Lonchura striata: one gene and its partners. The protein of the gene in region 4 interacts with the protein of the main gene of each other region in a biochemical or structural test. Links are inferred from orthologs where the notes say so. Each region holds a gene or a part of one and is shown on either strand. Other genes may lie near its edges.

Evidence for each region.
Region 1: the proteins of MAPK8 (region 4) and MAPK8IP3 form a complex in vitro, tested with the Homo sapiens proteins (3 studies listed by BioGRID, with this or other methods). The link is inferred for Lonchura striata from reciprocal best matches to the Homo sapiens genes MAPK8 and MAPK8IP3.
Region 2: the proteins of MAPK8 (region 4) and DUSP10 form a complex in vitro, tested with the Homo sapiens proteins (2 studies listed by BioGRID, with this or other methods). The link is inferred for Lonchura striata from reciprocal best matches to the Homo sapiens genes MAPK8 and DUSP10.
Region 3: of the proteins of MAPK8 (region 4) and NR4A1, one has a biochemical effect on the other in vitro, tested with the Homo sapiens proteins (2 studies listed by BioGRID). The link is inferred for Lonchura striata from reciprocal best matches to the Homo sapiens genes MAPK8 and NR4A1.

What each region holds. Positions count from the first base shown.
Region 1 is NC_134618.1:1,663,379-1,671,074, reverse strand, and holds the start of MAPK8IP3 (C-Jun-amino-terminal kinase-interacting protein 3), read left to right. Parts: upstream 1-4,691; 5' UTR 4,692-4,824; coding exon 4,825-5,142; intron 5,143-7,696.
Region 2 is NC_134605.1:8,119,771-8,126,979, reverse strand, and holds the start of DUSP10 (dual specificity protein phosphatase 10), read right to left. Parts: upstream 3,017-7,209; 5' UTR 2,924-3,016; intron 1,360-2,923; 5' UTR 1,316-1,359; coding exon 514-1,315; intron 1-513. UniProt on the Homo sapiens protein: Protein phosphatase involved in the inactivation of MAP kinases. Has a specificity for the MAPK11/MAPK12/MAPK13/MAPK14 subfamily. It preferably dephosphorylates p38.
Region 3 is NC_134629.1:6,183,552-6,191,517, reverse strand, and holds the start of NR4A1 (nuclear receptor subfamily 4immunitygroup A member 1), read left to right. Parts: upstream 1-4,954; 5' UTR 4,955-4,956; coding exon 4,957-5,766; intron 5,767-6,005; coding exon 6,006-6,135; intron 6,136-6,246; coding exon 6,247-6,398; intron 6,399-6,775; coding exon 6,776-6,978; intron 6,979-7,053; coding exon 7,054-7,232; intron 7,233-7,322; coding exon 7,323-7,579; 3' UTR 7,580-7,966. UniProt on the Homo sapiens protein: Orphan nuclear receptor. Binds the NGFI-B response element (NBRE) 5'-AAAGGTCA-3'. Binds 9-cis-retinoic acid outside of its ligand-binding (NR LBD) domain.
Region 4 is NC_134609.1:14,838,192-14,846,037, reverse strand, and holds the start of MAPK8 (mitogen-activated protein kinase 8), read right to left. Parts: upstream 3,001-7,846; 5' UTR 2,915-3,000; intron 1-2,914. Other genes in the region: FRMPD2 (FERM and PDZ domain-containing protein 2), read left to right, coding at 3,725-3,852, 4,804-4,875, 5,550-5,724, 6,544-6,694, 6,791-6,929, 7,809-7,846. UniProt on the Homo sapiens protein: Serine/threonine-protein kinase involved in various processes such as cell proliferation, differentiation, migration, transformation and programmed cell death.

The DNA of each region.
Region 1 (7,696 bases), on a different chromosome or scaffold from region 4:
GAGGAGAGGCACTTGTTGGGGCAAAAATCCGATGTTTATTGAGGTCCTGTGGATCCAACAGCACCGGAGGGGGCCAGCCAACAAGAGCTACTGAGGAGTGCTGGCAACATGTTCCATAGGGAGAGGGAGGGGGGCCGATCAGCCAGTGGGGAACAGACAGGAGTGACTCTGTGGGGATGGACATGGGGGGATCCAGTGAGGGGGAGACAGGGGAGGGGTCCCAGGCCCTCATCCAATCACTCGGTGCCCTGGATGGAAGTTTCCAGAGGTAGGGGAAGGGGCACCGACTGACAGACAAGGCACTTGGGAAAGGGCAGGGGACTGACTCGGCACCTTCCAGGGAAACCGACACTTGGGGAAAGGCAGGAAAACTCAGGGAGAAACCAATACAGTATGGGGGTACACTGGAACAAACCATGACAGAATAAAGATGTAATAAAGCATATAAAAACACAACTCCACAGGGCTTGGCTCTTCTCTTGCTCTCAGGATCAGAGGGGAACAGTCGAGCTGCTGCCGCCGTGTGGAGTCCAACCTGTTACTGCTGTGAAATACAAAGTTGTGTTTCATGACAGGCACATAAAGGCAACCTGTGCAGTTGTGGTTACGAAATGTGTGGAAGAAGGCCATGAGACAATTATAAAGATGAGTTCTAATAAACAACCGAGGAAAGCATGAAAGAAGGCTTTTGAACCAGTTTTTTGTTTGCAAATAACAATTATAAGTCTTGTTATAGATAAAAATTGATCCAGCCAAATTAAAAATTAAAAAATAAAAATTGTATTATTAAGATCGAATTATCTCTCAGCCAGCCACAAGGAAACAGACAGTGCCGAGCCCGGGATCGGGACTGGGTGTGTCACAGAGCAGATAGCCTCAGCAGAGGTTTCCCCGATGCCCACACACCACCCTCCTGGTACAAGCAGGCAATCCGTCTTTTCTTCACATTCAAAGTCCCACATATTCATAAAGTCTCTTTCCTCTGTGTTGGGATGGAACAATTCGGTGTCCAGTGCTGATGAATCTTCTTGATGGAGTTACGGGAACACGGCATTCAGATGTATCAACCAGGAGGATTTCAGTGATCCCGATCTAGAATAGATGGTTGCTGGATGATCAGCACCTGGGCGTTCCTGTATCACCTTGAGAAACGACCCATCTGTGGGTGAACCCCATGTATTAGTTTGCAAATGAGGTTTTGTCAGAAACCGGTTTTCGAATATGTGGGGGCACCTCCCAGTGCCAGCATGTGTACTTCCAACAATATAAAATATTACACTTATCATATTATACTGGAACGAATTACACTGACTACATATAACAGTCTTGAGCTGTTTTGCGATAAGAACTTTTGAATTATAACTTTAGAATGTTGCTTAGTATTAAAGTTATTAAACTGTAGCTTTAGAATGTATAACTCTTAACCTGTTTTGTAATAAGAGCTTTTGAATTATAACTTTAGAATGTTGCTGAGTACTAAGGATTTTTAAGCTGTAGCTTTAGAATATAAATAATTTAAACAGAAAGGGAAGGGACCCTATCCCAAGCTCCTGGAGAAGGAAGATGGACATCAAGGTTGCTGATAGATGATTTCAAAATGGGAAGTTGGACATCACTACCATAGATTAATGATCCCCAAAAATAGAAGTTGGACCCCACCATCTGGACACACATACTGGGATATACACAATAGGTTATAGAAATTGGAAAAGAACCAAATATCACCATCATGTTGATGATGAGGTATAGAATTGTGATGTTAAAGGTAGAAACGGAAACTGTTGAAAGCTCATGTAGAAACTGGGAAAAGCTTATGAATCTGCATTACTATGATCAATAAATACCAGCAAGACCAACAACCAGTGTGCAGTGGGAGGGGAAAACCCCCACCACTGTACCCTGCGCTGTGTTTGCTCATACGTTACCATATTAATTAATAATTTGAATTGCTGCTTGATATATTGGCTGAGTCATGTGTCTCATTTCTAACACTGCTTTCTTCCTTACTGTGGGTGAGCATCTGCTCCTAAGAGCAGCCATTGAGCTGGAACCTTAGTAATGCCTGATCTGACTGGAAAGGATCATCACCATCTACTAGGGTGCCACCAGGGAAAACCCAGGACCCCTGGAATCCTGAGGGTGTGTCTCCTGGGTATGTGTGGCAACTGCTATGGAGAAGCCCAGCTGCTGCTGCCCAGCCCACTGCTTTCTGCCACTGCCTTGGGCTTTCGTGCTACACCCTTACCCAACACACTGTGTCCACCCAACTATTGCAGCTCCTGCTAAAGGCTGCAGTTTTCTGCTACATTTTTTTTGTCACCCTGGGTGACGAACTTCAGCCGTTCTAGCCAGCGCTCCGAGATTCCTGCTACAGCCCATTTCTCCATCTGGACGGGCACCAGGACTGGCTTCCCCTGTGGGTTTGTAAACAGAGCCCCTTTTCTCTCCGCCCTCCCGGCTGAATTTCCATCACCGTGTGGAGAAGCGGCTGACCTTGCGCCACGGCGCCCCCTGCAGCCGGGGGGAATCACTGCATGCGCACTGCCAGGCCAGGAGCCACCAGTGCCCCTGCCGGCTGTGAGCAGAACTGCACCAAAGGGGAGGGTGTCTGCGGCTGAGACAAGGCTGTGATTGGGTTTCTGGTATTTTGTTTGTTGTTGCTGCTGCCATTGTTGATGTTTGTTTGCCTTGTTATACATATATATCTATATTTATATCTATATATCTACTAGTAAAGACACGCTATTCCTTTTATCCTATCTTTTCCCAAAAGACCCATAATTTCAGAGTTATAATAATTTGGAGGGAAGGGAGTCACATTTTCTCTTCCAAGAGAAGTTCCCACATTCCTTGGCAGACACCTGTCTTTCAAACCAAGATACCTAAAAAATACTTATTCTTTCACAAAGCGAAGTTCCACCTGTCTAAGGGAAAAAAAATCCCCAATAGTTAATTTGAGGTCATATGGTTATTGCAAAAGAATCCTGATTTTCCTTTCATAGTCTCAGTGTTTCTATCAATTTCTCACTCCTTGTGCCTTTACTTTGCCTACTTGGAAAGGTAAGCTCTTCAGCAAAGTGCCCTTGCAGCCATAACACAATTGCATATGTATAGCACAGTCAGTTTTTAGTTTGCTTTTAGTGCTAAGCAAATAACAACTTGAACTCCTATGCTAGATGCAATAAACCCCCAAAAGGGTAGAATAAGCAAATATTTTGCTTGCCAACTTTGACCTGGAAGTGGTATTTTAATTTTTTCTCATGCATGGCAGCACCTAGCATTCCTGCCATTTCTTGACTGATCTCTAGACTTGAAGTTATTTATGAATTTATAAATACAGGAATGTATCTTTTAGTGATTGATTTAAGTTAAGGCAATCACTGCCTTTCAGCAGGAGCTTTAACACAGTCACTGGACCTGAACCAGGATTCTGTTGTAGAAAGGAGGATGCACTTCAACTGATATCCCCTCCCCTCAGGGATGCCTGCTAGACCTGTTGGGATTACAATCAGAAGAGTGGGTAATGCTATGAGCTCATCAGTCTCTGTGGTTCAACAGGCTTTAGTTTGTGTCATGTCCATTGTGTCAGTTTCTTATGTATGCGGGAAAAATGCAAGAAAACTTTATAAATGTTTTTACATGCTCTCTAGGTTACAGAAGATTAGAAGTTCAGTGTAATATGGAATTAGTGAATTAGTGAATCAGTGAATAAGTCTTACCTCTTTGCCTGCCTTGCTTCTCTCCCTGTTCACCTGTATATTTTTATTCAAAATATTTTCAATGCAATCTTGCATTTAATAAAGCACACTCTTGTGTTTGTTGTAACATAGAACAAAACAGTCATAAAACTTAAAATTCTTAATTATAAGTGAGATGTGATATTCCCACTGCAATTAGGCTTTCTGGGTAGGGTTAAAGTTCTTTCCCTTTTTGCAGTATGAAGCTTTTAGGGTCATTGCTAGTCACGACCTTGGAATTACACTCTTCAGGGCTCTAAGCCAAATGAAGGTGTGGGAAGCCTTTTCCAAATCAACCCCTTATTTCTTTCTCCTGCCAGGCTGTTCTCAGTTCTCAGAGAATAATGATTCCTGCTGTCTTCTTCCAACTCTACAGCCCAGCTGAGCCCAGGATGTGGCAGACTCTAACTTCTGTGACACCTGTTGAGGGTGCTGGAGGCTACCGCCCATAATTTGCTGGAGCTGCTGTCCGTAATTTGGTGTGTGTTGCTGTTGATTTGGGAAATCTGATTAAATTCGGTGGTTGTGCTGAATTTTCTTTGAAGACTTGAGATGGCCATATTTGGCCCTCTGGCTTTTTCTTCATCCCTGACTGAACAGATCCTTGTCTGCTTTCTCTGTAGTAACTACGGCTGCTTCATCTCGGAAATACGACTACCGCGGCTGTGACGGGTCTCTAACGCGGCTCCCGGAGCCAGCGCGTGTCCGGGATGCGGCGCGACCCGGGCCCGCGCTGGCCCCCGCTCGGTGTCTGCGCGTGACGCCGCAGCGCGGGGCCTCGTGCGCCCCCATCGCGCCTCGCGGGGCCCCGGTGCGCAGCGCTTTGTCTGCGCGGGGCTCGCGACGGGCCGCGAGCTGCGCCGCCCGCGGCTCCGGCGCAAGAAGCACTGCGGCGCCCCGCCTCCTCCCAGCACGGGCAGCTTGCGTCCCCGATCTAGCGGCTCTGGGCGGTGCCGCCGCGCTCCGCCCCGGCCGGTGCCCGCGGACCTTGACGCGGCGTGCGGGGCGGGGCAGCGCCCGGTGGCGGTGTCAGCAGGGCCCGAAGCGGAGGCGAGCGGAGCGGGGTTGAGGGCTGTCGGCCGGCAGGATGCTGGAGATCCAGCTAGACGATGGCGGCGTGGGGGGGTATCCGGGCGATGATTACTGCTCGGGGTCGGTGATGTCGGAGCGGGTCTCGGGCCTCGCCAACAGCATCTACCGCGAGTTCGAGCGACTGATCCACTGCTACGACGAGGAGGTGGTGAAGGAGCTGATGCCGCTGGTGGTGACGGTGCTGGAGAACCTAGACTCGGTGCTCACCGACAACCAGGAGCACGAGGTGGAGCTGGAGCTGCTGCGGGAGGACAACGAGCAGCTGCTCACGCAGTACGAGCGGGAGAAGGCGCTGCGCAAGCAGGCCGAGGAGGTGAGCGCCGCCGCCTCGCGACTGTTTTGGCCACGGGCGGGGGCCCCAGTGCAGGGCAGTGGGAGGGCCGAGGCGGTGGCGGGGGCGGCTCAGGGCTGCGGCCTCGGCCGCCTCTCGCAGACCTTCGACCGACTGCCCGCTCCCCCGCGGTGGACCTGGTTCAAAAGGAGGCGGGGGGGGCGGCGGGCGCCCCGGGGCATCGGTCGCCGGTTCCTTCTAGAAGCGGAGGGCGGGGGCGGGACCGGGCGAGGCGCATCCCCTCCCGCGGGACGCGGTGCTCCTGTCCCCGGGACGGCCCCGGCAGGCCCGGCCCAGCCCGGCTCCTCCGCCGCCCCGCGGGGCCGGGGCCACTGCGGCTGAGCTGCCCCTGACAGCGGGAGGGAAAAAAGCCGAACCACAAACCGCAATAGCTGCAATCCTGTGGAATTCTTGAAGAATTAGGATTTTAGTTTGAAATGCCAACAGCATCCGGAGGGGTCAGCATAATTTGTGGTGTAAAATATAGTTTTTAAAATGGGTAATTTGTGTAGTCATCCAGCATTCTCAATGTCGGCTGTAAGCTGTTTCGTTGCAGCAAGGAATTGCCTTTAGAGTATAATATCTTACTTTTGAAGCTTATTTGTATCAAAACTGTGCCTTGAGTTTTAATAAAATCGTTCCCAACTCGGTATCTGCCGTTTCCTGGAGCGTGGATGCGCTCTCGGGAGAGCGGGGGCAACGTTGCTCAGCTGGTGGCGTTGTTTGGAAGTGGCTCATGAGAAATCCAATCCCTCTGATGGAGAGGAAGAAGAATCCTCCGGTTACAAGGACTCGGATGTAGACAAGACAGAGGGGAGGTGATCTGCACGCTGTCATCTTGCTGCGTCTGCGCCTGTCCCTGGTGAAATAGAACATCCTTTCAGCCTTGAAGGATGGGGGCCATAGGGATTGCTGTTCAGCTTCTTGGAGTGACAGTCTGTGAGCTAGGATAGAGCTTTGTTGCTGAAAACAGTCCATCCTAACCACATCATCCCCACCACATCATCTCCTTTAAACTTCTTTAGAAGTGGGGTTTTTCTGTCTTTAAGACTAAGGAAGAGCAGAAGATTTAAGATTCACTTGATTTCCTAGGAGTCAAGTTCTGGTTTGATATGGGGTAATTAATAAAATAAAATAAGTGGTAATAATGAAATAGTTGTTGAACTGGAGAATGGTGTAAAGCAGATGTGAGATTTTCATAGACATGTTTGTGTTGCTTAATAATCATGGGCAAGAAAGTTGGTAACTCAGTGGGGAGGACACTTGTCGTCCATTACTAATACTGAAAGCAAGAGCCAGTCAGTTAAAAGTTTCAGTCCCAAGTTTTAATTATGTATTAATAGATTAGTAAATGATCATAAAATTCTTTTGAATGCTTGTAGGGGTCAAAAATTATTCTAAGTACATGATGCTTATTTGTGTTGTGTAGAGACAGCATTTTGCAGCTTCTGAGAAATAATTTTTAAAATTTACTCTTTATGGGAAAAGAATGGGACTGCCAATGGGGGTTGGAACAGTCCAGTTGGAATCATCTTGCGTCTTTTGACTGGGGTGCATTTCTGTTCTGGTCTTAATAGATACAGGATGTGTTTTCTGGAAGCAAATGTACTGATGGCAGTTAAATTCCCCGCAAGGAAACTTTGGAACCATGGCAGAATACCATTTACCAATGGTGTTTTTAGAGAGTGAGATTTAAAAAATGCCAGTGATGATGATGATGAAGAAGATACTCTGTCATTGTTACACATAGCTCAGTGTAAGTGGGAGAAGTGTCTGCAAGGAGGCTTGTTATCAAAAGGAATAGATAATGTGTTTCTTATGAGAATAAATGAGAATTCTGCCTCTACAAGCCCTTATTACAAGGTCGTACATGGAATACATGGCTGCTGTTTTCCTCCATATATAACAAAGTACATTATTTCTCTGTACCTGTTTATCCCATGCACTGTTTACTCTGCAGTAAATTGTGTGTTATGGGGGTGAAAGTCTATGTATGACAGGGAATTCTGCTGGCTACCAGGTTATTGTACACAATCAAAACCCAGAAAACTTTTCTTCTCAGAACTTGCATTGCTGCTCTGAAACACTGCCACAGTGACCAGGGACTGTCCATGCCACCTCTCCACCAGCATCAGTTTCCTAGGCTGTGACTCAAGTCTTGGGTGGGATCTTCACTTCTAACTGGGAAGATCCTCCCCTGGAAACAGGATTTGACCTTAGTTTTGATTCCTCTCTGTGTATGCGTGCCAATTACTACAATTAAATTGACACTGAGAGGCTGGAGATGAAAAATGGATCTGTTCTCTTGCAATATCCTGTCAAAGGACCCTGAGTTATAGTTACTTTATATTAATTTATTAAATTCAAAGTAACTGGAACCACAGGTGGGCATTGTTCTGGCATTAAAATGTGCATTGTATTGGCTGATTACCACTGTGAAGAGCCATCACACCTTGCTGTTCATCTTTATGCAGCAGTTGTGCACAAACAGACTGTACAGGTATGGTTTGTTAAATTAGGGCTAATACTACAATCA
Region 2 (7,209 bases), on a different chromosome or scaffold from region 4:
CAAGGCTTGATTGCTCCTCAAGTTTTGCTGACTGGCCCATGACACAATGCCTCAGACCAATTGACCTCCCTCATCTGTCCTGCCCCCTCCTTCTACTCTCCCACTGTCCACCTTCAGCACCTATGAGTCCAGTTTTACATGGACTAAAACAGGGCTGCTAAGCTAAAAGAGAAGTATCCCCTGCTGGACCTCTGCTCTTTGGGTTATAAATACTCAGAATAAGCACTGGGGGAAATTCTTTGTCTGCACAGCCAGACACCAGGAAGCACATTTCCTCCTCCTTCCACTTCTCACCCCTCCTGCTACTCAAGGACAACATCCAGAGAAAAGCAAGCATCTCTCTGCTACCAGCTCCATGATTTGTCCATGGAAGGCATTTGCTTTGCCACTGGTAACTTGAAGCACACAGGACTTCCTAGAGATAAATAGATGCTTTCAAGATGCCACTATCAGCAGAGAGCACACACTGCAAAGCAAACCAACACACTGTGTCTGGGCAATGAGAAGAATTACCTTTAAGGACTAGGGGCTCCTTGCCTTCTCGCTTGAGTGACTCCAGCACTATGTGGAGTGGCTGGGAAGGCATCACCCTGCTTGGCTCATTGGTATTCTCATCATAAACTACGATTTCTTTGGAAAAGATTCTCTTGAAGGAGTCCTTGCCTTCCCGGCAGGAGATCAAGTCCAAGACGGTGATCTTGCCCTGCTGGAGCCTTCTCCGGCTGATCTTGTCAGAACAGTTAATGTGGACAGCCCCTTGAATGTGGCTCTTATTATACTCCATGAAGGGCCTGCAGTCAATGATGACAGGCCCTTGGTTCTGTTGGTGGCTCTTGCTGCATTTGGTCATCTTCTTGGCCAGATCATTGGGGTAGATGATTTTGATGCTGGCGAGTTGCTTGGCGCTGCCCGAGACAGGGCTCCCCACTCCGCCCAGCGGGCTCAGGCTGCCGGCGTTCTCATTGCTGTTGACCATTTGGTTGGCAGGGCAGGCGGGGGAGGCTCCGGCGTGGGTGCTGCTGGTGCTCGCTTGAGTTTGGGCCTGAGTGTCCTTGTCGTACGTTGCCACAGTGCAGCAACTGGCACTGCTGCATCCACAACTCAGGGAGCGTGCAGAGCCGTTGGATGAGGGCATATACGTGAGATTAGCAGTCTTTAGGGACACGACAGCTGCGCCGAGCAGACTGGAGTGGCTCTCACCAGCAGAAGAGGCAGATTCAAGGAAGCTAGAGTCTAAACACAGGTTGAGATCCTGAGGTCTCACTGGCCTCGAAAGTGCCACTACTACCCTGTCGTCTAAAGGAGATGGAGGCATGAGGAGGCTGAGCACTAGCAAGTTAAGAAGAACTCAAGATCACCCTGAAAAAGGAAAAGAAGGGAAAGAAGAAAAAAGGTGATGAAAACAGATCATGAAATCACGTAAACCTACAGATCCAACAACTTATTTTGCCGACACCCATTATCCCTAACCTAACAACCCCTTCTGACAGTTACCAGCTCACAGTAGCTGCTAAAAGCCCTTTTCAGGGCTGCAGAGAATACTTCAGCTATCTGCATGTGCGCCCATGGCACACAGAACCCACATGAGCAGCCTGGACTGTACAGTGACACCCAGGGATGGCATTTAGCTACATGCAGACGGTACTGAGCTATTCTGAAACCCCAGGCTGCAAGGCTCACCACTGATAATGACAAGAGGCACGTTCCCTTATCCCGTTGCTCACTGAAAAGGAAGCAACTACTGGGCTGAGTCTACTACAGGGAGGAACGTGTAAGAGCTGAATAGCTGAATGTGTCAGGGGTGATATGCAACTTTTCCAGCAGGCTGGAATAAAATTAGCCTGTGAATAAATTTTCTGAGACAGTTACAAACTTGAACACGTAAGGCTAAACAAAAAAATACCCAGAAGAAAACAAAAAAATTAGTTTTGAGAGATCCTTTTAAGCGTGCACCTTGCACTTCCCTCCCCCTGTCAGAGGTGAATCCAGTCTCAGTTAAACCCCTAGTTCCAGGCTCGGGAAAGCTGCTGTTCTCCAGCAGTTCGTGAGGCAAGTTCCCTGCTTTCCAATACATTTCACAGCTTCTTCAAAGAGTGGTCCCCTCTGCCCCAGTCAAGGTCACTGCCTGCCCCACCTTTGACTTCCCATTTGCTAGGACGCAGCATGCAGGATTAGAATCCCCCCTCGGCAGTCAAGGAAGACCGCAAAGAGGAAAATATCCGAAGCCGGCCCTGACAGCCCTCCACCAGCAACTTCGGGAGCAGCCGCAGCTCCCTCTGAAAAACCCATCCCAGCACCAACTTCACCAACTCCACCAAGCCCCGCAGCGGGGCGAGCACTCGCAGCTCCCGTTTGCCGCCCCGGCTGGCTCTGCACCGGGCCGGTCAGGAGATGCCCATCCCGAACAGGGGGCGGCCGGGGGGCACCGCCACCGCCAGCAGCCACCGCTCTGCGGAACGAACCCGCGGAACGAACCCGCGGAACGAACCCGCGGCACCTCCGGAGCGCACAAAGCGCCGGGGCACGGCGGAGGCGCCGCGGCCGGCGGAGCGGGGCCAGCGGCGGCTCGCTCGGGAGGCTTTCCCAGCCCGTTCTTTTCCCAACCCGCCCCTCGCCCTATTTTAGGCTCAGAACTAGGATAAGGACGCCCCGAGCGCCTTCGCCTGACGCAGTTAAAATTTTAAAATAAACGAGGGAGGCAACCCAGTTCCCCCAGCGAGGGAAAACAACGAAAGAGCCCGCGAAAAGCGGGAAACTGAAGTTTTGCTCCCGAGCGCGGGGAGCCGGGGCTGCCGCCCATCGCGCGGCGGGCCGGGCCGGGCCGGCGCTCCCCGCCGCGGCAGCCCCTGCGCGGGCTCCCGCGGCCGCGGGCCCCCGCTCCGCGCCGTGCCCCCGCTCAGCGGCCCGGCTGTCCCGCACTCACCGGCGCGTCGCGGTCCGGCCCGGTGCGCGGAGGTGGCGGCGGCCGCCGCGGGAGGAGCCGCTGGAGCCGCTGCGAGTCGCGCCCGCTGCCCCGCGCGCCGCCCGCCCCGCGCTCCGCGCGCCGCCCGCACCATCCTCGTTACTTTCCCTTTTGCTACCGCGTAAATGTACGGCCCGGCGGGGGCGGGGCCCGCAACGACGGGCGGCCGCGCCGGCCAATCGCAGCGCGGGGGGCGGCCCGGAGGCGGGGCGGTGACGTAATCGGCAGCCAATGGGGAGGGCGCGGCGACGGCCCCGCGCCCCGGGGCAGCCGCTGCTCCCCGCGGACGGGCGGGGGCGGCCCCGCGGCAGCGCCCCCACAGCGCGGGCAGAGCCCCCTCAGGACGGGCAGAGCCCCCTCAGGGCGGGCAGCAACCCCCGGCAGCACGAGCAGAGCCCGGGAGCGCCCCGCGTCCGGCCGCGGCACCAGCCACGGGGCCCAGCAGAGCGTCGGCCCCGCTCCCGGAGCGCGGCGGCACCGGGCAGTGCTGCCCGTCCGCCCCAGCCCCGCCGCGGGAGGCTCGGCAGTGGACGAGCGGCGCCAACCCGAGAGGATGCTGCTCAGCGGCTTTTCCAAGCAGTCCTTCCCTGTCAGAAAGGAGCCCGCACGAGGTACTTGGGAGCAGGAAAAGCCAGCAGACACATCTCCTCCTGGGTCAGTCCATCACGCATCAAGCCAGCAAGGCAGAAACAGGGAAAGTGGCATCTCCAGAATGATGCTCCCTACCAATCCACCTGACCACGGGAGCACTGGAGAGTTTCATCTAGAGCCCAGCACTGAGCTACAGCAGGAAGGGTAAAGTTGGAGCAGATAAGAACAAGCCCACACTTAATTTCTTGAGAGTAGAACAGTCATTTCCCCACCCAAAATCAGTAAATCACAGGGAGGGCAGGAGATGTGTCCTACACTGCTCAGAGACAGCCAGGCCTGGAGGTCCCTGCCTGCCTGACCCCCAGATGCTCCGTGCTATGGAAACTCAGAACCCAGCTTTGGCACATTCTCCAGTAAAGATCCTGAATGTTCAGATTAGACTGGGCTCTCCCCCAGTCTAGTCAGTGCAAAAAGGAAAGCAGCACACTTTGGAGCACAAGATTTTAAGGATAAGCATGAATCCCTTTCATCCTTTCTGTCAGAGGCTGACATGGGCAAAGTAATGAGCTCTCACCCTTCCTATGTGAGCACTACAAGGTGAGAACTGATTTTCAAGCCACAGGGATCAGCTCATCACACACACTAGAAGAGTACCTGGCAGCAGCATGGGATTTCTGCACCCCTTCCTTCCTCACTGTGCAACCTGTTTACACATTTCCTGGTTCAGCAACCACATTTCATCATGTACCAGTCCATCAATCCACCAAGTCAGCAACAGGGAAAGCGGCATCTCCAGAGCAATGCATCCTCCCGTGTCCTTCCTAACCATGGGAGTGACAAAGTGTTTCACCTACAGCCGGGAATGCCAACCAAGCTTTGGGCTACAGGAGGAAAGATGAAGTTAGAGCTGGTAAGAAGTTGTCAGCATGATAAGATTGAATCTAAATTAGCCCCCAGCCCTCAAAGATTTTGGTTCTGGGATGTATGTGGATAATTAATTTTTCAACTGGGATTTTCTAGTTGTAACCACCAATCCAACTGGGTCTATTGCAAAAAAAAAAAAAAAAAAAAAAAAAAAAAAAAAAAAAAGTATATAAAATGCAGTGATATCATCATCCAGCAACTCAGTTTAAAAAAAATTTGAAAAAAGAGAGCAAGATTTTAGAAGCACTGAAGACTTGATTTTTTTTTTTTTTTTTTATTAATAGTTCTAAGGTAAACAGCAAATCCTTTTCCTCACAGCCATTCTTTCAAAAATCAGTCGCTTCCCCTAAATGTTCCTTGTAGGACAGCAACTCATCCAGCACAAACTCAGGCTTTTGGTTTCCAGTGTTGTGATACCACAGCAGAGCACCAGTTCCCCTGCACACTGGGATGGAAGGGAAAGTGGGGGAAGGCTCTCACTTGTAACAGCTTCCCCTCCAGCACTCTGCTTCCACTGAGAGCAAATGTGGGGAAAGACTTTGAGCAATTAAGTCATAGAGTGACTTCACCCAGCAAAGACCACAGTCTGGAGGTATTACCTTCTGAATAAAATATTAATAAAATATAAGTCCCCATGCTACCCAGCATAAATGCAAACCAGGCTTTAACAGTGCAGTGCAATTGCTGCAAAAACAGCTGCCCTGCCCAGCGATGGGGCAAACAGCTCAATGGAGAAATGCACAGGTCTCACTCGGACTCCACAAACAAACACTGGTCAGTTACCCAGAGGTGCCACTGTCAGATGCCACTGGAGCATTTCCGCGTTCTCTATTCCTCTTTGTCCATGGCTTGCTGAGGATGGCACTGGGATCACAGTACAGGAGGGGTGCTTCCCTCAAAACCTCCCTTTCAGGCCACACTTTGGCTTGGGGAAGGAGCTCCTCATGGGCTTGTGTTCTGTTCACCACCTGAAATGGCACCTTCCACCCAGGCAGCTGGAAACCGTGTTCCTGTTTGTGCATCTCCCAAAGCTAGACATCTCCTAAGGCAAATATTTGTTAGAAAACACTTGCAATCATTGATTTTACTTTCTGACCAAACTTCTCAGTACTGTACTAAAAAATGTGCACCAAGAAAATATTTTGTGACTTGCTTATGGAAGAGTTCTTCTCACAGGAGATCTGTGCAGAGGTTACTCACAGTGAGCAATGCTCCCTTCTGAAGGATATTCAACCTCTGCCAAGTTTTTTTACAATACAAAGAGAGGCCAAATGTTATTTTCTTTCATATTTTACTTAACTTTTTATTTTTCTAAGATTGTTGACGGTAAGTTGCTATTCCACCCCAGTTTCAGAGGATTTCCTACACAACTTTGCTGACTTCATGCTTAATAAATTTTATTAGCCTATGACATAAGATTGGCCTTTTTCCTGCTCTCAGAAACCACAGCCCGCTATGACTTTTTTTTCTGAGCCTATTCAATGAACAGCTTTCTAAATGCTTTTGCTCTCTGTAATTCAACACCCAAAACAGACAAGACTTATCTGTTCCCTAAAAACTAAACTTCTATTCTCTAAAAAGCACACAAGGATTCTTATTATGAAAGCTGGCACATCTTAGTTGAATTCCCACTTCCACCAGTAGCAGCACATGGGATTTTGACATTTATTTTCTTCAAATGCTTTTGCCACCATGGTGCACTTGCTCAGACATTTGAAGAAAACCACAAGCAGACAAAGTGAAATTATCTCAGAATTTAAGCAAATCGTCACAAACTCTCACCGTATACTAATTGCATAAAATCCAGTCAGAACTGTTCAACCTCACTAAAAGGGTAAAGATTGCTAAAAGCACACGCTGAATATTTAACAGATGTGAAAAAGAAGCCATCACAATTCTTGCCAATAGCACAGACACCCCTTAAGTGCTCTCCAGCTCAACTTATTGAAACCTATTTCAATCTTATTGACAGACTTCTTGCACATCAATCACTCTTCCACTCTACAATCAGGGACCTTTTATCTTGTTTAGGATTAGAAAAAGACCCAGAATATAATTACCTTCATCAACACAGCCATATACAGCACCTTCCCTGCACCAAAGTAGGGAAGAAGGTGTGCTGTCCTATCCCCTGAACATTCAAATCTCTGGAGTCATGCATGAAATAAGAATTTCACCTGTTGTACATATGACTGCAGAATGGGGCACTCCAATGTTGGCTGCTCTCTGGGGTAGCATTATTCTGGTTTTAGGGGCACAGTAACAACCAGAGCCAGGAGTTCACAGTAACAGGTTGTGTGTAAAGACAACAAAGGACAGATACTTGTCCCTCCTGAGAATGTCATTTGAACAGAGCAATGCAAGTTCCCAATTTTACCAGCAGAAATGGGAAGCAAGAGGCTGAGTGACTTCTCTAAAGTAACACAACAGCTTACACAGTGGAGCAGAAAATTGGGAAACTGGGGAAAACAAAGGTGCTAACCAGCACAGTATTTCAACTGCAAACCTGTAACTTGCACTTACTTCATCAGATATCACATGAAGTGGCTAAAAGAAAATGTCCTTGGGGGCTAGACTGAACATCTATGTGTTCACTACTTAAATTTGCCCATTTGTTTTTTTAAGCAATCTTTGATTCTTGTAAGGTTTTACTACATCACATGGCACCTTTGTTTGTCCTTGCTAGAAATGTCAGTTCACTACATAGGCAAAGCTGAGAAACACTGTTAGCC
Region 3 (7,966 bases), on a different chromosome or scaffold from region 4:
GGAGCACCGAGAGCCCCCAGCCCTCTGCTCTGCCTCAGTTTCCCCCTTTGGCCGGGCTGTTGCATGTCTGGGGACCCCAATTCTCCCCTTGCCCTCCCCGTCCCCCCCGGGAGAGCCTCTGGAGGTCTGGGGGTGAGAACTGCGGGTGTCTGTGCGTGCCGTGGAGCGGGGGGTGGGGGCTCAGCTGGCTCCCCCACACTCTCCTGCCTTGTCCCCGTTCCAGGGCAGCTCCGTGCTGGACATTTATGGTCTGGCCCCGCAGCCCCGGCGGCTCCCGGTGTCCTCCCGCGTGCTGCCCGGGTCGGAGCATCCCGTTCCCGTCAGAGTCACCACGGCACCCCCCGTGGCAGCTGCCACCCCACGCTGAGCTTTTTATAGCCCCGACCTGGGGCTGCGTGCGCCCGGGAATGGGCAGATGGCCGTGGGACACCGGGGTCACGCGTGGCACCGGCTGAGCCGAGGCTGCGGGGTACAGACCGGGAACGCCCCGGAACCGCCTGTCATTACCGATAAAGATAGGCCCGGGGCAGGGAGCCAGGGGTAGCCGTGAGCCCCGGCTGATCAGCGCCCGGGCACGGGCACCCTGCAAATCCCAGCGCCCACCCTGGGGCTGCCTGGCGGTCATCCTGTCCCCGTGTCCCCACCTGGGTGTCAGGGGGGATCCCTGGGGCTGCTGTGAACAGGGGTCCCCCCGCTGCACCCCCGTGGCCTTGCCAGGGTGGCTGGGCTCGGGTTTCCTCCCCCGAAGCCATCGCGGTGCCCGCGACCTCTCCCGGGGTACAGCTAATCCCGGCTGCGGGGGCTGCCGCTGCCACCCTCCTGCCTCCGGTACCGCCGCCACCAAGCCAGGGATGCGGGGGGCTGCGACCCCCGGTGGCTTTGGGACCCCCGGCAGCTCTGCGACCCTCCTGTCTGACGTGTCCCGAGGACTCGTGGCCGAATCCCCGGGCTGGCACCGGCCCTGCCCCTCGGCAGGTCCCGCCGGGCCCGGGGGATCCCTCTGGGGGCGGCCCCGGTGGTGCCGCGGGATCCCCAAGACGTCAGTGACCGGTGTGACGTCAGCGGGCAGGTGTGATGTCACGGAATCCCGTCGGGGGCGGGCGACAGCCAGAAGCGGCGCCGGAGCGAGGGAACGGCTCCCGGTCCCGGGCCGCCACCTCCGGTACCCCCGTGCCGCCACCTCCGGACCCCTCTGGTGCCGGGCTGCCCCCGCCCCGGCTGCTGCTCACGGGGCCGGGGATTTCGTGAGGCCATGCAGGGTCCCGGTACCGGAGGTCCCGGCAGCACCCCCGATGCCGGCAGCGGCTGCCGGGACACCGGGGCACCGGCCCGGCCCCGCGGTGGAACCGTACCGGGGCCGCTGCCGCTGCAGGGGCACTAACGGGGGAGCTGTCACCCCCGGGGGCGCTGCCAGCCCGGGCACGGCGGGCCGGGTGCCCCCAGACCCCCGGTTTGTCCCTGGGAATGGAAACCGGCGGGTACGGCGAGGGACGGGACGGAGCCGGTACCGACGTGTACCGGGTCGGTAGCAGGAGATCCCAAGGGAGTACCGGGGTAGTATCGGAGGGTAGCGGCTCAGAAGCTCCGCGGTGCTACCGGAGGGTATCGCGGGAGGTGCTGGAGTCGTACCGGAGGGTACCGGGATGGTACTGGAGGGTATCGCGGGAGGTGCTGGAGCCGTACCGGAGGGTACCGGGATGGTACCGGAGGGTACTGAGGGGGTACCGGCGTGGCACCGGAGGGTGCTGCGGGCTTGTGGGTCCCTTCCGCTCACCGTCCGCCCTCCCGCGGGCCCGGGCCGGCTCCGCACCGGCTGAGCTCATCTTTCCAGCCCGCGGGCGCTGTTCCCGGCGCCGGCGCCCGCCAGCAGCCGCCGCTCTTTCCATCGCCCCGGCCAGGGGCTCCCCGCGGGGACCGGGCGGGGGCGGGACCCCGCGGCACTCCCCCCGCACCCGGCACCGAGCGGGAGGAGCCCGGGGGTACCGGCGCCGCTGAGCACCGGAGATACCCGCATGGGCACTGGGCATAGCGGCACCGGGGGTACGGGAGATCACCGGGGAGAACGGCGGCGGGGGGACACCGGGAATGGGGCAGTGAAGATACCGGCACCGAGGGGGCTCCGGGGATGCCAACACCGAGGGGACACCGGGGATAATGGCACCAGAGATCCTGGCGCCTCGAGGGCACCGAGAATGGTGGTACCGGCAACGAAGGGACACCGGGGATACCGACACCGAGAGCCTACCGAGGCTGGGCACTAAAATGATGCCAGCACCGAGGGGGCACCGAGGGTGGGCGCAGCGGAGTACCAGCAAGGAGGGGACACCGGAAATACCGGCAGCGAGAGAGGGCCGGGGCTAGAGGCAGCGGGGGACGCCAGCCCCGGGTTCGCAGCAGCGAGGAGACACCGTGCATACCGAGGAGCCACCGGCTGCGAGGACACCGGGGATACCCCTGACACCGGGGCCTCCCTCCCCCCGCCGGCGGCCCCCGGTGCCCCGGGGGGATATGTGGGGAAGCGAGGGGCGCCCGGGCTATTTTTAGCCGGGGCCGCGGGGGTATTTTTAGCCGGGGCCGCGGGTGCGTCAATGGAACCCCGCGTGCGTCACGGCCGCGCCCCCGCCGGGGCCGCCCCCCCCGTGCGTCACCGGCCCCGCGCCGCCCCGCGCGTCACCGAGCGCTTAAGAGAAAGTAGTGGCGGGGCCGGAGCCCGGCGGAGCCCGCGGAGCGGCGGTGGCAGGAGCAGGAACCGGAGCGCCGCCGCGCCGGCACCCGGGTACGGGCGGCACCGGGATGCGGGGAGCGGGTGGGGGGCACCGGGGGCAGGGGGTCGTGCTGGCAGCGGGGGCGGGCTGAGCGCAGCGGCGTGGGGTGTCCCGGTGGCACCGGGGGAGTAGGAGCCGTTGTCCGGGGCGGCACCGGAGGGGTTCAGATCGGGCGTGGCAGGTGGCGCCAAGAGGATCCGGGTCGGGCATCCCGGTGGCACCGGCGGCTCAGGGCGGTGGGCGTCCTGCAAAGTGGATGGATGTGGTCGGGTGTCCCAGTAGCGCCCCGGGCAACCGGGTCGCGCGTCCCCGTGGAGCCGGGGCTCGCGTGTCCGAAGGACGCGGTGGAAGGGACTCCCGGTGCCACCGGGGAGAGTCGGGGGTCCCGGTGGAAGGGACCGGGCTGCGTGCGCTATGCGGGATTGCCCCTTGTGGGTATCCGGTGACACCGGGAGGAGCCGAGTCGGGCGTCCCGCGTGGCGCTGGGAGGTGCACGGGATCGGGCGTCCCAGCGGCACCGGTAGCACCGGGAAAACCCGGGAATCCCGCAGCCGGCGGGAGTTGGCAGAGCGAGAGGTCCCGGTGCCGGGGGTCCCGGGAAGAGCCCGGCACCACCCTCTCCTCCGTGAGGAGCTGCGCAGGACCGGGAGCCGCTAGTTGGGCCATGCGGGAGCGGGGGCTGGTTCCCCCATCACGGCAGCCTAACCGGGGCCAGCTGCAGATGCAGGAAAGCCCCGTCTCAGGGGCAGAGCCACCCCACACCGGGCATCACCCCGGGATCCCCGAGCAGAGCGGTCACGGAACCGGAGAGGGCAGCAGCGGGGCAGGCAGGAGCACGCGGGCAGCGCCGGGCACTGCGAGCAGGGATGTGCCCGCAGCCAGCCCCGTGCGGGCAAACCCCCCGCTGCCCCCGCGGGCCTGGCAGCAGCCGCTGCGGCATTACCGGGCAGCAGGTGCCGGCAGGGCCGTGGGCAGCGTGAGCCGCCCCCGGTGCCACCGGCTGCTCTCGCCCGCCCGCGGCCCGGGGCCCGGTGCCAGCGGCTGCCACCCGCCCGTGCAGGCGGCAGCCCCGGGGCTGGGCACGGGCGGCTGCCCCGCGCTCCCAAACCAGGAATCTGCAGACAGAGCCCGGCCGTGGGCAGCGCCGAGGCTGCTGCGGGAATCTGTGCCCGGTCCCTGGGGGGGGACAGGGCAGAAGGGACCCCAAATGCTCTCAGCGAGCGGGTGAGAGCCAAAACCTTCAAACAACCGGGAGCACGGGAAGGGTCGAGGCGTTGCATTTGCCAGGGTTTTCATGCAGGCAAGGAAAACTCCCACTGGCACAGACCGTGTCCCCCAGGGCGTGTGCCCAGCACAGTCCCCTCGGCTTCATTCAGGGACAGAAGGCAGCTGGGGGGTCACTGTTCCCTCTGAACCCAGCTGGACACGCACAAACTCCACTGCGACCACCAGCAGGGGGCTGGGGGCTGGTGCCATCCCGTGGGTACCAGAGCTGGACCCACGCTGGATATTTTTAAACCCAGCTCCTGGCGGGTGTCGGCTTTCTTGGTGCCCGAGAGAGCTGCCCAGATTTGGCTGGGGGAATCCGGGGGCTCTGGCAGCAGGGCCGTGCCAGGACGTGGCCGGGGGCCAGTGCAGCGTGACCTTTAAAGGTCTGCGAGATGAATTACATTATCGTCTTGCCATTGGGGTCACTTCTGGCTTGGCTTTCAGCTGGACACAGGACTCCGCTTGTCTTATGTCCCACCAGCTCCACGCACAGCCCCGGGGGGCTCCAGGGACTGAGGGTGGGCTCCTCTCCCCCTCACCTGGAGGGCTGCCTGCACCAATTTTCCCAAAAAGCCCCAAAAGGGGTTACGGGGGAAGTGAGATCCCCAGAACCCAGTTCAGCCCCAACTCTGGCTCCCTTGGCCAGCCCTAGGGCTTGGGAATCTGCTGGCCACATTCCTCCCTCCTTCCCTTTCGGGGGCTTTTGCTAAGCCAGCGTTTTGGGGAATGTCCTTTGCACCCATTGGCTGTGCCGTGACCTTTCTCAGGGACAGCGGTGGCCGCCACCACGCAGCCAGTGGCTATGGAGGTGCAATTCCAGCACGAGGGGAGCATCCCACGCTCCCCACCGTGTCTCCATCCTCTGCCTGGATGCCGGGGGGCGGTGTCGGGGCGCCGCTGACGCCCCTCTCTCCCCGCAGAGATGCCCTGCATCCAGGCGCAGTGCAGCACCACGGGCGCCGGCCCCTGCGAGCGCTGCCCGGCCGAGCTGCTGAGCCCCGAGGGCGGCCGATTCCCCATGGAAGTGGCCGGAGCCGACCTGGCGGCCGCCCCCGCCCTGCCCAGCTTCAGCACCTTCATGGAGGGCTACGCCGGCGAGTTCGACGCCTTCCTCTACCAGCTGCCGGCGAGCGGCCAGTCCAGCGCCGCCGCCGCCGCCGCCTTCAAGCTGGAGGACTTCCAGGTGTACGGCTGCTACCCCAGCGCCTTCGGGGGGCAGCCGGACGAGACCCTGTCCTCCAGCGGCTCGGACTGCTACGGGAGCCCCTGCTCCATCCCCTCGCCCGCCACGCCGGGCTTCCAGCCCCCGCAGGCGCCGGGCTGGGAGGGCTCCTTCGGGCCGTACTCGCCGCTGCCGAACTACGAGGGTGGGCAGCCCTGGGCCGAGCCGGCCAAGGGCGGGGGGTCGCAGCCGCCTTTCTTCGCCTTCGGCCCCCCGGCCCCCAGCCCCGGTGGGTCCCCTGCCGCCCTGAAGGGGCAGCTTGGCGCCTCGCCCCGCGTGGACCCGCGGCTGCTGGACACGGACGCCTTCCCCCCGGCCCAGGGGCCTGCCAGGGGTTTCGGGGGGCTGCCCCTGGCCCCCGCCGCGGCGCTGCTGGAGGGGCCGGCGCTGGCGCCCAGCAAGGTGCGCAGCCCCGGGGCGGGCGAGGGCCGCTGCGCCGTCTGCGGGGACAACGCGTCCTGCCAGCACTACGGCGTGCGCACCTGCGAGGGCTGCAAGGGCTTCTTCAAGGTAAGGGGAACCCCCGGGCCGTGGCTGCCGCCGGGATACTCCCACAGTGCTTTGCGGCGGCAGGAGGATGCTGCGGGGTGTCCCGGGGAGGGGCAGGGCAGGGAGCACGGCCGCCGAGCCCTCCCCACGGACACGGAGCCGGATGCTGGGCTGGAGAGGGAGGCAGGGGAGGACAGAAGGGCTTTTGTTCGGAGCTCAGCGCCCCGGGCTGAGCTCGGCCGCTCCTTCCCCACCCGCAGCGCACAGTGCAGAAGAATGCCAAGTACATCTGCCTGGCCAACAAGGACTGCCCTGTGGACAAGCGGCGCAGGAACCGCTGCCAGTTCTGCCGCTTCCAGAAGTGCCTGGCCGTCGGCATGGTCAAAGAAGGTAGCAGGGTCCCGTCCCGGGTGGGGGCACCCAGCAGGAGCGGGGAGTCCCCTCTCTGCAGCCTCTCTGGCTGCACTGAGGGCACACACTCACTGCAAGTTCCAACCGCAGTGGTCCGGACCGACAGCCTGAAGGGGCGGCGGGGCCGGCTCCCCTCCAAGCCCAAGCAGCCGCCGGACACGTCCCCGGTCAGCCTCATCACCTCGCTGGTGCGGGCACACATTGACTCCATCCCCAGTGCCACCAAGCTCGACTACTCCAAGGTAGGGCTGGTGCCACTCCATGCCCCGCCCAGGGCCGTGCCAGGGCTGGGGCTGGGTCCTGACCCATCCCCATCCCAGTTCCTCATCCATCCCCATCCCAATCCTGATCCTGTCTCCATCCCAATCCTGATCCTGTCCCCGTCCCAGTTCCTGATTCAAACTCATCCCTGTTGTTAGCCCAGCAGTTCCTGACTTGTTCCCATCCTAGGTCCTGACCCACCCCCATCCCAATTCCTGATCCACCTCTGTCCCAGGTCCTGACCATCCCAATTCCTGACCCATCCCCATCCCAATTCCTGATCCATCCCCATCCCAATCCTGACCCATCCTCTCCCAATCCTGACCCATCCCCCAATTCCTGACTCATCCTGTCCCAGTTCCAGGAGTCAGCCCCGTGCCCGTTTGAGAAGGAGGACTCGGTGGATGTGCAGCAGTTCTATGACCTGCTCACCGGCTCCATGGACGTCATCCGCAAGTGGGCCGAGAAGATCCAGGGCTTCACCGAGCTGCCCAAGGACGACCAGGACCTCCTGCTGGAGTCGGCCTTCCTGGAGCTCTTCATCCTGCGCCTGGCATACCGGTGAGCCCCGGGGCAGCGCGGAGCAGGGGGAACCCGAGCCGTGCCCAGGGGTGACGCCCGGCTTTGTGCTGCCAGCTCCAAGCCGGAGGAAGGGAAACTCATCTTCTGCAACGGCGTGGTGCTGCACCGGCAGCAGTGCGTGCGCGGCTTCGGGGAGTGGATCGACGCCATCCTCGAGTTCTCCCAGAGCCTGCACCGCATGAGCGTCGACGTCCCCTCCTTCTCCTGCCTTGCCGCCCTCGTCATCATCACAGGTGAGACCCAAACCCAGCTCCGGGCCCGGCCCGTCCCCACCCGCAGCCGGTGTCTGTCCCCGCGGTCCCACAGCCTGTGTGTCCCCCCAGACCGGCACGGCCTGAAGGAGCCCAAGCGGGTGGAGGAGCTGCAGAACCGCATCGTGGGCTGCCTCAAGGACCACGTGGCGGCAGCAGGCGCCGAGCCCGGCCGCTCCAGCTGCCTCTCCAAGCTGCTGGGGAAGCTGCCCGAGCTGCGCAGCCTCTGCACCCAGGGCCTCCAGCGCATTTTCTACCTCAAGCTGGAGGATCTGGTGCCGCCGCCACCCATCGTTGACAAGATCTTCATGGACACTCTGCCTTTTTGAGTCCCAGGCAAGGAAGGGGCTGCCGTGAGCTCCTGACCTGCCTGGGGACATCTGGGACCCGCCCTGGGCAACCCTGGTTCAGTCCAAGGATGCCCGGGAACCCCCTGGGCACCCCTGGGTCACCCCTGGGATGCCTGGAACATCCCCTGGGTACCCTAGATCAGCCCTGGGATGTTCCCACCCTATGGGTGACCCCCATAATGCCCAGAAACCACCTGGGCATCCCTAGATCGCTCCCAGGATGCCTGGAACCTGCCCTGGTCACTCCTGGATCAGTCCTGGGATGCCCGGGACATCCCTGTGGATTCCTGAATGACCTCTGGGACACCTGGGACCCCCTGGGCCATTCCCAAGCCTTTATGTATACCCCTGGATCACCCCTAGAAT
Region 4 (7,846 bases):
CCTGCTTTGATAATAGATATCTATATCTATATCTATATCTATATCTATATCTATATCTATATATTATTATATTTATATAGAATAAATAACGTAATAAATACATAATATTCTACTATGTAGAATAAATAAATAATGTTCACCTACTCTTGGTTTGGCTCCAAGTCCAAAAAACCTGGGCCCTGAACGATCCATACAAAGCAGATGCAGGAATTCCACATTTACTCTGTACCAGTGTGTCCTGCCAGATGCCACAGGCCTCCCAGAATAGCTGCCCCCAGCTGTGTCTCCCCCAGGCAGGGAATCAGCATTAGTCCCCTGTGACTGAAACAGCTGGGAAACTGCTGCACAGACACTGTGGAAGGATGGATTTTATGATCTTAGAGGTCTTTTTTAACCTTACTAATGATATAATTTATGAAGGGAAAAATCTATTGAAAAGGTATTAATAGTCATCACTTTCCCTGTCAAGGCATTCTGCCAGAGTCCTTATTTGTCCACATTCAGATTTTGGATGTGGTCTAGCCTTGCTGTCACATTAAAGTGCTGTCACACCTTATGTGTTCTGTAGTGGTTATGTGAAACCATGTATATAATGTATAATTTTCATTTGCATTTCCATCTCAGTCCTTATACTGATTTTTCTCACTTGTGTCAGTCATGTCCAGCCCTGCACTGCCACTGTACTGGAGAGTTACAGGAAACCCAGGGTCACGAGCAGTAAAGACCTCTGCTCTGTCATGAGGATTAGCCTCATTTCAGCCATGGAATGGACAGCAGCCCTGTAGACATTGGCAAAGAAAAGTGAGGATTGTACAACTGATACTAAGTCCTTTTCAATAGCCAGGGAAACACCCCTGCTGCCAAACAAGAATTTTCTAGACTGGGTGTTAGCACAGTGCAGCTTCCAAACAAAGAGATGCAAGTACTGTCAGTCTCTAGGCATCACAAAGCCCAGAATCCCATAGTTAAGCACCATGTAATCCCTACAGACATCCCATTTAAATTGGGTTCTTGACCCAGTTAAACAGGAGTTTCTTCTTTTAACCATGACACGAGTAATTCAGGCCCACAGGAAATGCTCAATTTAGATCAACTCCCAATTAAATGTGTCCTAAGTAAACAGTTTGAACTTCCTGATAAATCAGCCATGATAATCTGGGCAATATGAGATACCCCAGTACACCTGTAAAACTGCAACAAGAGAGATCTACAAGCAGATTGCGGGATAGTGGCTGCTTTTGTCAAGAAAGAAGTCTCTGTCTACTTGTCTAACTACACACACACATATTTGTGTATGTGTTCACCAACATCTATATATGCATCATATATCTAACAGTTATATGAGTAACAGAGGATTTATTTACTGAGTACTTCACAGTAATTTCCATGCCTCTGACTAAAACTCTAGATATGATCTTAATGTACTTGATTTAAAATCATGCTGCCAAGAATAAGTTCACCTCCTCTGCTGAAGGACGAACTCTGTTCTCCAAATTTCCAGCAAGCTGCTTCCCATAGAACTTCAAGAACTTTAAACCCCACTCCTGGCTGTAAGCATCTGCAACTGAATGTCTACCACAGTCACCATTCTATTACAAGTACCATTACAGCAGTGGAGTTGAAATTACTTTGGAAATCACGTTTCCCATGTAGGAGTACAACCAACACAAAAATTAGTGATGGGTTTACTATCTATAAAGCTTACTTATATCATCATGCTCATTCTGTAGGAAGCCAAATTAACATAACTTACATCTCACAAAGTGAAGCTTGTAAACAAGGCTCTGGTCTATATCTAAAGAAGACACAACTGTAAAATCTGGCACATCTCACCTAACAGGAGTAATAACAGGAAGTGTTTTCCACAGTAAAAGAAAGCCTTCTTAATAATGAATTTTGGATTTTGAGGAGAGGAGAGGAGAGGAGAGGAGAGGAGAGGAGAGGAGAGGAGAGGAGACTCAATAATCATCTAGTCCAACTGCCTGAGCATTTCAGAGTTGACCAAAAGTTAAAGGATGTTATTAAGGTCATCTCCAAATGACTCTTAATAACTGACAGGCTTGGACCAGTGACCATCTCTTAGGTGGCCTGTTCCAGTGTTTGGCCCCCTCTTAAGGGAAAAAATGGTTCCTAACATCTCTGAACTCCACGTACTGTAGTTTTGAACTGCTCCCATGTTCCCTGTTATTGGATACTAGGCAGAAGAGATGAGAAACTACTCTAGTTAATTTTTGAAAAATTTTTAGAAATTCCTTGAATAGTTGCCTGATGTAAATCTTCAATGTGCAAAAGAAAATGATAAAACTTTAGGATAATGGAAAAGCTTCTATGTGTCTTTAGCATTTGCTGAAAAAATGTAATTAACAAAAATCCACCTCAATAAAACCCCTCCCGAACAACATAATCATTTCTTGTTCAAAGCTACAGTACAGAGACAGCTTTCTGATCTGAGGTTTCACACACCTTTTTCTTAATTAAATTAAAAAATCCCTCAGTTCCCTAGGACATTAATTTATCCTAATGAATTAGTATTCAAATAATTTAATTCCCATTTCTGGAAAAATTCTGAATAATGTAACAACAAACGTTAAGGCTTTCTGAAGCTTTTTTCTTGAGAAAATAATAAATGAGGAACTTTCTTCATCCTGTAGAATTCCCAGAAGGGAATGGGGCTGCACTTTTTGCCTGTCGGCTTCACCAAACTTAAACCAGCTGCATTTGGCTCACCAAATGAAGGAAAGAAACAAACCTGACTCTATTGAATCAAAGCAGAGTTTAGATTTATTTATAACGGAGAGTTATAAATAAATCTAGAGTTATACTCCTGTTAAATTTTTCTTTTTTTGTAAAGAGACATTAAGGAGCTTATAACAGACATTGTCCTGGACTTCATCATATTCAGTAGTTACTGTACCTTAAGATCTCTGCCCCCAGGTCACTGTTGTGTTGACTGCATGTTAGATCTTTTTCTCACATTTCCTTTGAAGGTCGGTGAGTGCTGTAGAAGAAATCCCGGGTGGAACTGCGAAGAACAGCCGACAGAACCTGATAAGCTTGGGATCCACCTTCTCTGTGTCCACAAAGGACTCCTCAGCAGCTGCCGCATCACAGAAATGTTTGTTCCACAGGAAGGAAAAGGTGAATGACGAAAAACATATAAGCTGATTTCAAAATGTAAATATCACTAAAGAGAAGCCTCTCATCTAATTTTTGTTTGACAATGATGTGCATATTAGCTACTGAGTCATCTTATTAGATGAGTATTCTAAATTGACAGACTCCAAATTAGGCATGATCCAGTTATGCTGTCAGAACCGAAGGCAGTGAAAGCAATTGTCTGTAAGGACTAAGCAAAAGCTCATAATTGAACCCTCTCTGACCTACATATGTGATTTCTGCCAGCATCAAGCACCATATGGACTGTTTTCCCCAACCACTTCGACAGCAGTTTCAGAACAGCAAAAACTTTACAGAGACAGTGTACCCAAATGCCTGCCAGCCAGTGATGCTCAAAGGACTTAAATTTCTTTTTACAGTGCATGTCTGGACAGAAAGCATAGGCTGACAGTGAATGGGCCCAGACAGTAGTTCTCCTAACTGACTTTTTCTACTTTCTAAGTTGTAGTAGGACTCTGTTAAATGGAAAGGACAAAGTTTCTTTCAAAGGTATGCTGTTTTGCAGTCTTTTCCGGTTTGCAAAAATTCAGAAATAACTTATTCACAGAAAACTCCACCATGATCCTTCATATGGAGTTTTCTGTTGTGGAACAAGAAGGGACAGGTTTCAGGCTGATGAACCCTTTCACCTCTTCCCAGTCCAGAAGCTCAGCAGTGACCAGTGACAAATATTTGGTCAAGAGCTTCACTTAGATACTTTGGAAAATTATATTTCCTCATATGAATTTTATATTATATTTATTTTATACATTATATTTATATGATTTAAATGTTGTGATTATGGTTTTTGTGGGGATAATAACAGCCTTTCACAGGAGTTCAGCAACTGTTACAACACAGTGCTACTCCCTCTTTAATGTGATGCAAAACTGCATTGTCTGTTGGTAAGACCATACTGCTATGAAATTTCTTTCTTTTTTTTTTTAAGTATCTAAATGGGTCAAGTTACTAAGTCACGGTGAATGGCTGGAAGGATTCACATCTTATTATTTGAAGACATTTAATTATTCTGTCTGCTTAAGGGATCTAAAAGCATAGATGTATCTGATAAAAACCCAATATATACAACTAGTTGAGATGGATACTCAGCAAGGAAAAAAGAGCTTAAAACTGTTGAAGTTATTTGCAATTAAAACAAAAGAATACAATGTCTAATAATAAGAACCATCAGTCAGCCTTTATTATGGGGAAGAAAGCAGCTCTGCATTTCAGTCTAGTTCTTAGGGAAGTTGGGCTTAAGCAATCACAGTGGTGTGTTTGTATGTTTCTGTGTCTGTGACTGTCCTCAAAGTAATTTGGGAATCAAATGAGAAAAGGTCTCAGAATAAATTGTTTCTATAAGTGTCATGAAAATAGATACCTTGCAAAGGAAATGGATTTTGATTAAGTACCTTTACAGAAGAAAAGGCTTCCACATGAGCTTAGCCCTACTTAGACCCTGGAGAGTCTACAAAGGAGAGACACCAAAGAGAGAGAAGTCACCAGTCAGCATTTGCACCTTATTCAACACTGAAGTCAATTAGGTCCAGCATACAGATCAATAGAAATGGGTTTCATTGATACTTGTGTTTGGGATCTTCATTCCATTAAGAAGACTTACAAAATTTCTAAATTGCCTCCTTGCAGTTTTCAGGTCCAGAATTTATTATTTTGTCAAGTGAACCACCAGTGACCTTACAGCTGCCTGGATCAATTGTGGTAAGAATGAACATTAAGGATTTTGAACAAATCCAGTGACATTTCAGTCAGGGCTCTTTGTAAATAGCACCTGAGTCTCAAGCCAGTATTCTCTCCATGTCCTCCTCTCAAAACAAGTTAGGGTTCCTTGCAGAGATATTGAGACTTGAAAGGGTGTCCATTAATTCTTAGTGCTATTTAGTTATTTCTGTTGGTGTAAAAAAAAGCTTGATTTATCCTTCTCAGCTAAGAATGTTCACTTTAGCCCTAGACCTTTGAGACAAAGACTGTGTAGTAAATCTGCAATATGACATCTAGTTCCAATGCATGGGACTTCTCCAGCTTGCAAGCAGATACTTTACCTTTCATCAAGGTAAGGTAGAAAGATGACAGCAGATAGCTGTAAAAATGAGAGCAAAACAAATTTGGAAGTAGCACCAAATCTAGAATAACTCTGGCACCTGGAGAATTTGAGTATGCTCATCTGTTTTGTTGTGATTCTTTTGGTTTTAAGGAAATAAGAAAAGTTTGTGATATTAATTTATGAGAAGGGAGGCAGAGATTAGCATGGTGTTGTGACCAATTCCATCAGTTGCATAGAGACAGGCTACTAGTGGGCCTCAATATAAAATGCTGTGGAACTTGCATTGCTTGTACTTGGCACTCATTCTTCATTCTTTCTTGCATGTTCTTAGACTAAAAAAGGGAAATCCTATTTGTCCCAAAGGGATCTCAATGTGATTCTACTCAATGGCCAGTGCCTTGAGGTGCAATGTGATATCAAGACCAAGGCAAGAGATGTTTTCAACACTGTGGTGGCATATGCAAACTTGGTGGAGCATTTCTACTTTGGCTTGGCTTACCTGAAAGGTAACGAGACAGTTATTTATATATGAGACAATGCCTCTGTAGTCACTTTATCAATGAATTCCAGTAAGAATTAATCAAGGAATCATTCAAGAATGCATCAAATAATCATTCATCAAGAATTAATTCAAAGATCCTTTAAGATCCTTGGGTAGAAGCAGACACAAAGCTTGTGCAAAAGTAAGGTATGTTGGTTTAAACTGCATTGCACTGGTGTAAAGCATGTCTGCCCTAGGACTGTGCACAGCACAGCCATACAACATTTACTCACTGATATTCCCAGGCAGAAAAGGCTGTATCCCAGCCTTGCACTCAAATAACACTGAGCCATGCAGGTCCAGCAGAAATTCCAGGAAGCATTGCACTGGGAAAGGCTGCCTGTGTTTATTCCTAGATATAAGTGGGAGTACAGGTTCAGCTGTGTCATCTACCAGACCCACATCTCCCTGGTCCCCTTCTGATGGCAGGCACAGCTGAGGCACTGGGAAAGAGCACACCTTGTGTGTGGGCATGAGGATTACAAAGGGGTGCAGAACCTGAGTGGTGAGAAGAATGCAAGCTCCATGAGTCCTTGAGTGATTTCTCAGATACCATACTAATCCAGCATCTAACATTTGTAATCCAAAATTACATACTGTCCTAAGTTCTACATCAAAGGAGCAATAACTAAAATTTGAGAAGTTAAAGCTGAGAACTAAATCTTAGCTGACATCCCCAATCCAATTTATTTTTTATTGCTAGTGATGCACTCTATGAAGACAGCAGAACTATGCTGCTGAAGTATATCCAGGTTTATCACAGAACCCAAAATTCTCATTTCAGGTAAAGAATTCTTCTTTTTGGATGAGGAGACCAAACTCTACAAAGTGGCTCCAGACGGCTGGAATGACCAACCCAAGAAGAAAATGTCCATCATTAATTTCACACTTTTTCTAAGGATAAAATTTTTTGTCAACCACTTTAATGTTATTCAGTAAGTGCAAAATTCTGCTGACTGAAGGAAAACTGGTAGCATTTAGGGATACCATTCAAAGCTCCTCCTGAGTTCCTAAACCCTTTTCTATTCCAGGCATGGCTTGACAAGGCACCAGTTTTACCTGCAGCTTCGTAAAGATATTTTGGAGGAGCGATTATATTGCAGTGATGAGACTGCCCTGAAACTCGGCGCTTTGGCTTTACAGGCAGAGCTTGGCAATTATGCTTCTGAGGTGTGGAGAAATAATACAGTATTTCTCAGAGGTCTCTCTCTACAACTTTTGCAGCTTTTGTCACATAGAGTTTAAAGAAGAAATGTGAATAGCAAAGAACTTCAGTTAAGTCCTCCAGATAAGTCCTTCAGACTTAATTTTAAAAATTACAAAATATTCCTGATTATGGAGTAGTAATGAGCCAGGTGAATTTGCCAGGAAATATGGCAGAATGATGAGAGAGTCTAGGTCCTTCATTGATAATATAGCCTAGAAACTCTAGAAAATCTGTAGAAAGTTTCCAACACAGGCCCAGCTTGGATGTGTGGAGGGGCTTAAAGAGATTAGTAAAGAGGGAAGAGAAAAGCAAATGAACGCTTCAGAATTCACAGCTGTCTTATGTGTAGGCTCAGATCCACAAGCTGCAAAGACAGGGAGGTCTCTGATTGTATATCTGAACTGGCTGTCCTAGTTTTCAAGTGCATATAAAACACCCATTTATGTTGCTTCCATAACTTCAGCTATGTAAATCAGGGTAGCTCTGTTAATTGAACTCGGAGTGGTCTAATCCATGTGGTCAGATCAATCATGGCAATGGGTCCCCCACTGTAGGTTGTACTGATGCAGCTGTAGCTGTCAGCTCTAAGGGCAGGACACGCCTGTAGGCCCAGATCCTTCCTCTCCTCTGCCCAAAGAAGTGATGTGTGCTTTGAGCAGCTGCCTGAGCACAGGGGCAAGAGGCAATTTGGCTGTCAGGACACTGCGTGCTGTCCCCAGTTTCCTTTGGGAAATGGCAGCAGGGTGACTTCTGCATATGGGTCACCCTGAAAATGGAATGCGATGAATAAGAAAAGTCAAGAAAGAACAAAAGGCTCCTGTCTCTTTGTTTTTCCCCCACAGATGCATGGAAAGAGCTATTTTCGTGTTGAAGACTACGT